2 linked regions of the Drosophila melanogaster genome follow. The protein of the gene in region 1 purifies or fractionates together with the protein of each later gene. This does not show direct contact. Each region holds a gene or a part of one and is shown on either strand. Other genes may lie near its edges.

Region 1 (3,901 bases):
TCGGGTTAACCTAAAATACGATTAGTCGGCACAGGAAAAAGAAGCACAACTAGTTTCTCGTATGAAAAACTTAAAACTCAACGTAATTATTTCAAATTTAAAGCGCTTTATGTAGAATCAAATTTAAAAGTAATTAAAATAAAAACATTTTCAAATATTTAATACAGATAATGGTGGTTTATGTACGGAAAACTTATCTTCAAAGTCTTTGTATAAATCTGTATCTAATTCCGTGTGTGCTGGCGAAGTGAATTTTTAACGGCGCGATCCCGTCCGTAGTGTGAGTAAAACCAATTTGTTTCCCTTTTTATTAAATTAAATCAAGACCAAGATAAATATAAAACAAATTAATGGCATTGAAGTTGGTATAATAATAATGTATAATATAATTATTATATATTAATATATAATATTAATATAATATAATAATTGTATAATATACAATGTGCCACAGATCACCAGGAAAATATTGTTCAACATAATTTACTTTTTGTCTCGCCGTTTCACTTTTTTGATATGACTGGTTTGTTACGGCCAAAAACGAGTCAAAACTGCCACCTCCACACTTTCGAATTTTTTTTTTTGATATTTGTGAATTTTTGTATTAGTTTATTAGTTTCCATCCATATGTCGAAATTTTTTTCCACTCTGAGCCCCACAAGCCTACCCCGGTCAAGTCAAGAAACATGTTTTGATATTTGTATCAGTCTTGTTAATTTCCTTTGATCTGCTACGCCCACTCTAACGACCACAAACCAACCAAATCTGTCACGTCCACACTTTTGAACCATTTATCTTTTATCTTTTAAAATACACTACTTTAAAAAGTTCCATTCCGCAGAATGCGTGTACTTTGGGATGGTTATTTCTATTTTTGGTGATACGAAATCAGAATATAAATCAATTCTTCTACACAGAAAAGCAAAACTTTTGCTATGATCAGAACAATTTAAAAAAAGGGGTTTGTATTGACCTTAAGCACCTAAATATATACGTGAATAAAAAATGTACCAATTTTAATCAGATATTTCGATAAATTACTTAAAGATGTTCTGGTAAATTCAACGATACGAAATCAGATCTATTGCAATCAGTTTTTTGAAACGATCAGTAGGTGTGTAAATTCTATTTCAGAAAAACTCTTGAATAATGTATTGGAATAGAATGATGGTTCAAAAGTTGCAAGAATTATTAATATATTCCAAATTTGATGGTATACTTTTTCAAATTTGTTACATTTGTAATATGTATTATTTTTAATATGCAATTAAAGAAAGATATTTAACATTTATGATGTGGCTCGAATAATAACAAAAGTTATTCGACAGAAAGGCAACAACAACACTCACTATGACCTTGATTAATGCACTAAAATGTCACAAAAATGCATTTGCCCAGGCGATCAGATCTTCGATGAGAGAGATTGAGAAATATACCACGCAGGAAATACTCCCCATTCAAATATTCAGTATGAAATAGTTTTTTATACAGTGTATTGAATAATTGTATTGCATTGTGTATTGAAGGCATAAGTCGTAAGGCTTTATTCACCAAAATTCAAAAGGTCAGTGCTAGACTATATATATGGGCTAGTGCTAATTAGTGTTTGCGTGCGAATTCCTGTTATCCATCGCCACTGTATCGATTTTTAAAAACACAATTTTGATTGAATTCTCTAATGTTAGCGAGTTGTCCTTATTTTACAGATCTGTCTACCAGCACCATACAAATATCAAATGATCCGTTGGGTCGTCTCTGAAAACTTTTAATTTATTTCATAGGATTTTTAAGTTATGATTTATAAAAAAAACTGTGGGATGTTATAATGTTGTTATATTAGAAGCGCTTTTTAAAGTTTCACATCTGCTTATATCCCAGCCGTTCCGCATAGAAGTGGTATATTAAGCGAGATGATTCGTCATTCAAAAATACCATTTTGAGTGCGACGGTCACACTTTAGGGCGTGTTATTTTCCAAGCCGACTTGTTAACGAAATTTTTATAGAAATAACAAATGGGTGCGTCCAACCGCATTTTACAAGTTGCCCTTTGCGCGTCCGTGTTTTCCCTAATATGTTTTGTTATCGCGTTTTCCACGCCTTATTGGCTGGTTACAGACGGCAGATTACAAAACCCGCGATTCACTAACCTAGGCCTTTGGGAAGTTTGTTTCAACAACTTCCAGGACATACACCGATTTTTTGACAATTCCTTTAACGGATGCCTATGGGTTTTCGAAGAGGAATATTACATCATACACGACTTCCTCCTGCCTGGCTTCTACATATCCGTTCAACTTTTTGCTACGCTATGCTTTGTAATGTGCCTTGTTGTTATACCACTCACTGTAGCATTTCTTCGCACTTCTCGCGATGATGACAGGTACATGGTGCTCCTGCTGGCGATAGGATCATGCCAGGTTGTGGGCTCTGTTTTCGGGTTTATTGCTGTGGTCATTTTTGGCGCCAAAGGAGATTCTCGGGATTGGATGCCAGGATGGCAGAACAATGATATGGGCTGGTCATTTGCTCTGGGCGTTGTTGGCGCTGTGCTGCTACTGCCGTCTGGCGTACTCTATCTAGTAGAAGCGCGTCGGGAAAGGTACAAGCGCTTAAACGAAATCAGCAATCGGGAGATCAGTGAATACGGAGATGAGTATTACCAGAATCAGGGACCCTCCGCAGTGCTTCCGACCGCTCCATCGCCATATCAATCCTATTTTGCATCTGAGCCAAGCCGACCAAGAAGACCCCAACAAAGTAGTGCATCGAATTCCGCTGTACAAGGAGGAATTCAAACAGATATATAAATCAAAAATGAATTCGAAGGAATTATCCGTCCATTTACACAATATTTAATAATAATTAACAAATATACAAATATATACGATGTAAGGTAGAATAGTCATTCCACTAAATCCACTACAAATGTTTTTAAAATGTATCGAATTCGAAGGTAATAAATATTTGTCAAATAATTTATTTTATCTTTTCCTTTTTTTCCGATTTTCTTAACTTAAAATGTTAAAGACAGGACACTGTGCCTAGGTTAAATCGCGGGAGCTAGCTACACTGTCTGTCTTACAAATTTGCAAGATTGTATGTATTTTGATTGGCAGTGTTATTAAATTATGATCACAATACAGGAGACAGACAAGGTACCCACTTAGCTAGTTCTTCTATGCGAGTATAGTTTAGCTTGTAAGAAGGGAGCCAGAAGATCTTCTGACAAACTATAAACTAATAAAGGGTTTTCATTGGGGCGCTTGATCTTTGAACTGAAAAAAAAAATTTGAAAGGTCAATCGAATCCATTATGAATGGAATATGACATCATTCAAATGACCACCAAATGCACGAAATGTCCAATTTTCGATGACTCCGCGCACAAATCGGGCTGTATTTGATCGATGGCGTGGCGTATGTTGACTTTGAGGACATCGGTGTCTTGCGCCTTGTTGTCATGGACCTGCGAAAACCCCAAATGAAAAAGAGGGGTCAAATCACACGATCTCGGTGGCCAGTCCTGTTGAAACCACATGTTGTCCAGTTCCATATTCTCGATTTCAGGCCATATGAAGTTGGTTATCATCGATCGATATCGCTCACCATTGACGGTGACCGCCACACCATATTGTTTTCGAAAAAATACGGACCAATCACAACTGCAGCCGTAAATCCGCACCAAACAGTCACTTTCTTCGGATGTATTGCCATTTGGTGAACCGCGTGTGGATTGGTCTCGTCCCACCAATCGAAGGATAGTCGACTCGGCAGGACGATCATCGCGACCGTAAAACGGGCTAAGTGCGCGGAACGTTGCTTGAACTAAAGACCCATTTTCATAAAACAAAAAAAAAAAAAAACAACAAACATCAAAAAACATGGCCGCAATGTTGCGGCA
Region 2 (4,916 bases), on another chromosome or scaffold:
ACGCTGAGCAGCAGCATTCCCACCATGGCCTTCTATTCCCACAGTGGAGAAGCGGTCACAAAGTCAAGAAGGCGGCCGTCCATATCCAAGAATTCGCTTAAACAACCAACGAAAATCTCGCCAACCTCCCGTCCACTATTGGGCATTAATAAGGGAGTTCACCACAAAATACGCAAGCGTCACGGTTTTGCCAACCGACTGCCAGCCACCGATATGGACAACATTCTCAACTCGCTGAGCAACGAACGGCTCAAGAACCTGATCACCACCAAGCGTGAAGAGCGCGCCAAAGTGGAGGAAGTCCACCAGATTCTCCGTAATGCCAAGGACCCGATCAAAATGGCCAAACCATTGAGTGTGATTGAAGCCGACGATGCTAACAACAATAACAATCTGCCAGCAACCGCATGGCAAGAAACTTCCGCCGATTTCTCCGATCTTAGTGATGTCGAAGACATTGATCCCATCATCGAGGTGGAGCCTATCATACCAATAATTCGCCACGAGCCGGTCCAGAAATCCCCAACCGCCGAGCCAGCCGATCTAAGCAAACGAAAGTTCTTCAAATCGGGCCGCCGTAGTAGCACCTGCATGGAGGTGAGAATCACGGACAACATCCGGGCCAGCGTCAGCCAGGGCAAGATTGAACTCGTCCAAACGATACGCCGTAAGCCGCGGCAAGTGCGCGTCAAGTCGGCCACGATATTTTCCGCCGAGCAGGCGACTGTGGATGCGATCCTAAAGAATCTGGACGATACGGTGGTTGATGAGATTGTAGAAGCGAATCCGGTGGTACAGGCAACGCCCATTGATGCGGAGGAGACGACCATGGAAACGGAGTCGCTACCGGATATAATTGAGTATGCCCCAGAGGCGAACGATGTGGAAATTGATCCCTTTGCTGAGTTCCGTCAACGTTTGCCATACCAAACCGATGATCCCAATGTCGTGGAGCAACAGCAAATTTTACTAGAGTTTCTCATTAGCAACAATATTTGCACCGAAAAGAACTTTGAGATATTTATTGCAAATCCGGATGACTACAAGGACGAGGCCAATCAAATTGTGGACAATTTATACATGGTGGTGAACAGCGAGGAGGCTGCGCAGCTTGCTCAGATGGAAACAGTGGAAAATACAGCGGTGGCCATTGCACCAAAACAGGATGCGCCAGCAGTAGAGGAAGTTCAGCCAAAGCTTTTCCCCATATTCACTCAACGCTTACAGCCCGTTGTCCAGAAATCGTTGCGGCGTCGGCCGGATACATCGATGAGATTGCTAACGGCGGCGGGTGGATCGAATCAGTACCAGATCGATGCTGGTCAAAAGGCCTTCGGAGCACGGCAGTGCCAGCAGTGCGGATTGGTGTACACCGTGCACGAGCCGGAGGAGGAGCTGCTTCATCGCGAGTACCACAATTCCATCCATGTGCTGCGCTTCAAGGGCTGGATCGACGAGGACATTGTGTCCGTTTATCCAGAATGGGCCAGCGACGGGCGCATCATACGGATCAACGAACGCGCTCCGACAGCTCGGCTCGACAGACTGCGGGATCTCATTGGTGTGGTGGACAAAGAGCTGGGCTATTCCTCGTACATTGTGCCAAAGATCTTTGTAGCCTTCATAGCAGTGCGCAAGCAGCAGATCGTAGGCTTCTGCCTGGTGCAGCCCCTCTCGCAGGCCCATCGTTTCATCCAGGTCGATGGCACGGACTACTTCAGCGAGGAAAGCTACCCGGCCAGGTAAGACATCCCCTACTGCATGCCCCTTCCCTTGTCAACGGCTAAAATGTGCCTTCTTTCAGCTGCGGCGTCTCACGCATCTGGGTTTCTCCGCTGCAGCGACGCAGCGGGATCGCCAGCAAGCTGCTGCGAGTCGTCCAGTGCCACACGGTGCTCGGTCAAGAGATCGCTAGGGAGTGCATTGCCTTCAGTACGCCCACCGACGATGGTCGGGCTCTGGCACGCCAGTTCACCGGGTTGGATAACTTCCTCACCTACGACCAGTGATCGGGGAAATCTATTGAAGCTATTGAATAGCTGGATTGTTTTTGAGTTAGGATTGCTTCGAAACCTGTAATAGTTGATAAGCAAGTGCGATTATGTTACTAGCGGCACGAAGACGCGCAATTTAACATGTTTACAATGGTGGTTTAATATGCCTGTTTTTACGCAATGAACACGATATTTTCTTCGAGTCGCATTAATTTTGAAAATATAGATTAATATTGTTTATCTTACGTGTCGGGTTTTAAAACATGTAAATTTGGTGTTACAAAAATAGCACATACGTTAATTTTTAAATTGTATGTTTATAAACATTGTTTAATATATTTAAATTCTAACAAATAACTTAATGTCTAAATGTATGCAGTAAAAAATTTACACAACCTGCACTTGCGATCGATGAATGGTTATCGATCGCTTGCAACCATGCGGCGAGTCCACAAAGTGCCATCACTAGCACACTGAGCCTGGCTTTTGGGCGTTGTTTTCGTAGCAGCAAAGTGGCTGAAATTAATAACATTTAAGAGCAGAAGTGTGTAACACACCTGAATGGGACTTGTGCCAATCTCAGTGACCACCAATCGCGCGCAAATGGTAAGTGCAATCCGCATATAAGCTGCTAAGTGGGGAGCTGCTGGTGCTGCTAGTTAGTTTACTTTGGTGACGCCACGCCCAATGTGACAAATTGGAATCGGTGGCAATTGGTTTCGGGGTGCAAGTGGCATGCAGCGTGGTGGTTGAACCGCTTTCTCACTCTTCTTCCCCTGCCCTCCAGACCATTGAGCATTGTGCAGCAGGCTATTGAGGCTCTTGCAAGTGACCACACCCCTATAAGACTATGTCCACAATCGAAGAGGAACGCAAGGCGTACGAAAAGAATCCCTACTTCACCGGCCACATCTACGGCAACTTCTCGCCGTTTTATGTGACCATTGCCATCTGCACGGTTGTCCTGGGCACGATCATAATACTGAACATTATCTTGGGCTGCTGCTCCAAGCATCGCAAGTACTGGCAGGACAGGCACACGGGCAATCGCTGGTTGGTTTCCATTTGGTCTGCCACGCCCCACAATCAGCCGCCATTGGATTTCACTGAGCTGAAGGACGCCTCATACTTTCAGCGCTTCCATGTGAGTATTCGGTTTTTTGGCCAGAGCCCGAAAAATCGTGGCTTATTGTTTGGAAACTATTACTTTTTCTAGCCCACAACCCATCAGCAAGTGTTCCCCGACGACGTTGTCATCGGCGTTGACGACTTGGAGCCCGTGCACTCGGCGCACCATCATCATCACCAGCAGCAGCACCAGCGTCCACCACGTCCAGAGGGTCGCACTTTGCACCAGCAGCGCCAGCGCGAGGAATACGTGGAGTTGCAGAAGCGCGAGAGCGACATCTAAGTAGCAATGGCTCTTTACTTCCTTTATCCCGCCGTGGCCGCCGTCGCCCTGTTCATCGTGGGCGTTATCATTGTCATGCTGCGCTACGGACCGCGTTTGTGCGGTTTGCGCCACCATGCGCTTCCCGATGACGAGGATCTGCGGGGAAAGACGTATGAGCATGAGATTAGCTATGCCTAATATTGGGGTGTTCAGGGGTGTCCCATTAATCCCATTCAACCAATGGGTATTGTTGGTGATTTCTTGGACAGCCCTGCCTTTAATTTACATACTTATACATGCCGGCAATGCTACGAATTGCTTCTTATATATCTCTCTCCCCCCAAAACTAATCCTAGCTACTGTAAGAGCCCACTAACCCGTCTGCACCCACCAACCATATCAGTTTTGCATGCAGTACAAATAGTTTCATTAGCAACCAGTTTTGTTCGAGCCGATTCCATTCCATTAATCGCAATCTGACAATGTGCCTTTCACGTAGAGACTCGTAAGAAATTTATACCGTCCAAGTGTCTTTTCTAGCGCCGTAAGATCGAATTGTATTTTTACATTTAATACCCATTTAGGGTAGTCTGTCTACAGATGCTGCATTTAATGTTGTCCAATATTCTACTCGTATGAAAATATCAGTGTCTTGTATCTACTACAAACTCTATACATTTGTATTCGTCCATTAGTTTTGTAATATTGTATTTTGAAGTTGCATCAAATAAATCTACGGCCCCCAAAATAATATTGTGTTTTTTAATCGTAGATGCTAGTGGGTAGCTTGAAATGGCAAATAGGAATGGTTAACAATGCTTCAAACAAAAGTGTTGAATGTATTTGAGTTTTATCAATTTTACATACAATAAATTTAGATCGCAAAATACCAAGTAACAATATCTTATTCAATAATACAATATAAGGTAAATACTAGAAAATAATTCAATGCATTCAAAGTTAGGTATAAGTACAATGAAATTCCATAACTTGTAGAATCTACTTCCTTTTAGAAGGCTTTTTTGTGTGCCTTCGCACATGACGCTCTGCTTGCTTGCCGGGAGCACCCAGTTCATAGCGAAAGATAATGCAACGCCGGTCGAAGAAGGTCTTCAGGTCCTTTGGATCGTATCGATGCCCCATGTGCTTCAGGTGCAAGTAAACTGCCTGCAAATCAATGGGTTCGTACGTGAGTACACTTTCGTGCAGTTGGGGATTGGCGCAGATGAGATTGTGCCAGGCGATGTGCAGTGGCACCAGCGGCTGTGGTGTCTTCTTGGTAACGTTCGTTTGCATGACAAAGGTCTCGAAGTCATCGCAAAGACTCGGGGCAAGGGATTGGGAAAAGCGCAGCAATTCCTCGCCCGTGGCATCGTTAAATGTTAAATCCTTTTTTGTCCCAATTGCCTTCAATGTTTTAGAGGTTGACTTTGCTACTTGCGAATGTGGTCTCTCCATAATCACAGGAGTTGACTTGGAACGCACAATTGGCTCAGATCTGGCTGGTAAATCCTGAACAGCAGCTGTCT

Evidence for each region.
Region 2: the proteins of kune (region 1) and wrm1 purify together in Drosophila melanogaster (affinity purification with western blotting, with the first as the bait; one study listed by BioGRID). This does not show direct contact.

Annotation. Positions count from the first base shown.
Region 1 is NT_033778.4:5,669,822-5,673,722, forward strand, and holds kune (kune-kune), read left to right. Parts: upstream 1-1,919; 5' UTR 1,920-2,013; coding exon 2,014-2,808; 3' UTR 2,809-2,979; downstream 2,980-3,901. Other genes in the region: CG8245 (uncharacterized protein), read left to right, coding at 1-25.
Region 2 is NT_037436.4:7,332,764-7,337,679, reverse strand, and holds wrm1 (wurmchen 1), read left to right. Parts: upstream 1-2,453; 5' UTR 2,454-2,600; intron 2,601-2,781; 5' UTR 2,782-2,844; coding exon 2,845-3,138; intron 3,139-3,210; coding exon 3,211-3,405; 3' UTR 3,406-3,411; coding exon of another isoform or gene 3,412-3,585; 3' UTR 3,586-4,136; downstream 4,137-4,916. Other genes in the region: eco (establishment of cohesion), read left to right, coding at 1-1,742, 1,805-2,009; wrm2 (wurmchen 2), read left to right, coding at 3,412-3,585; mus312 (mutagen-sensitive 312), read right to left, coding at 4,387-4,916.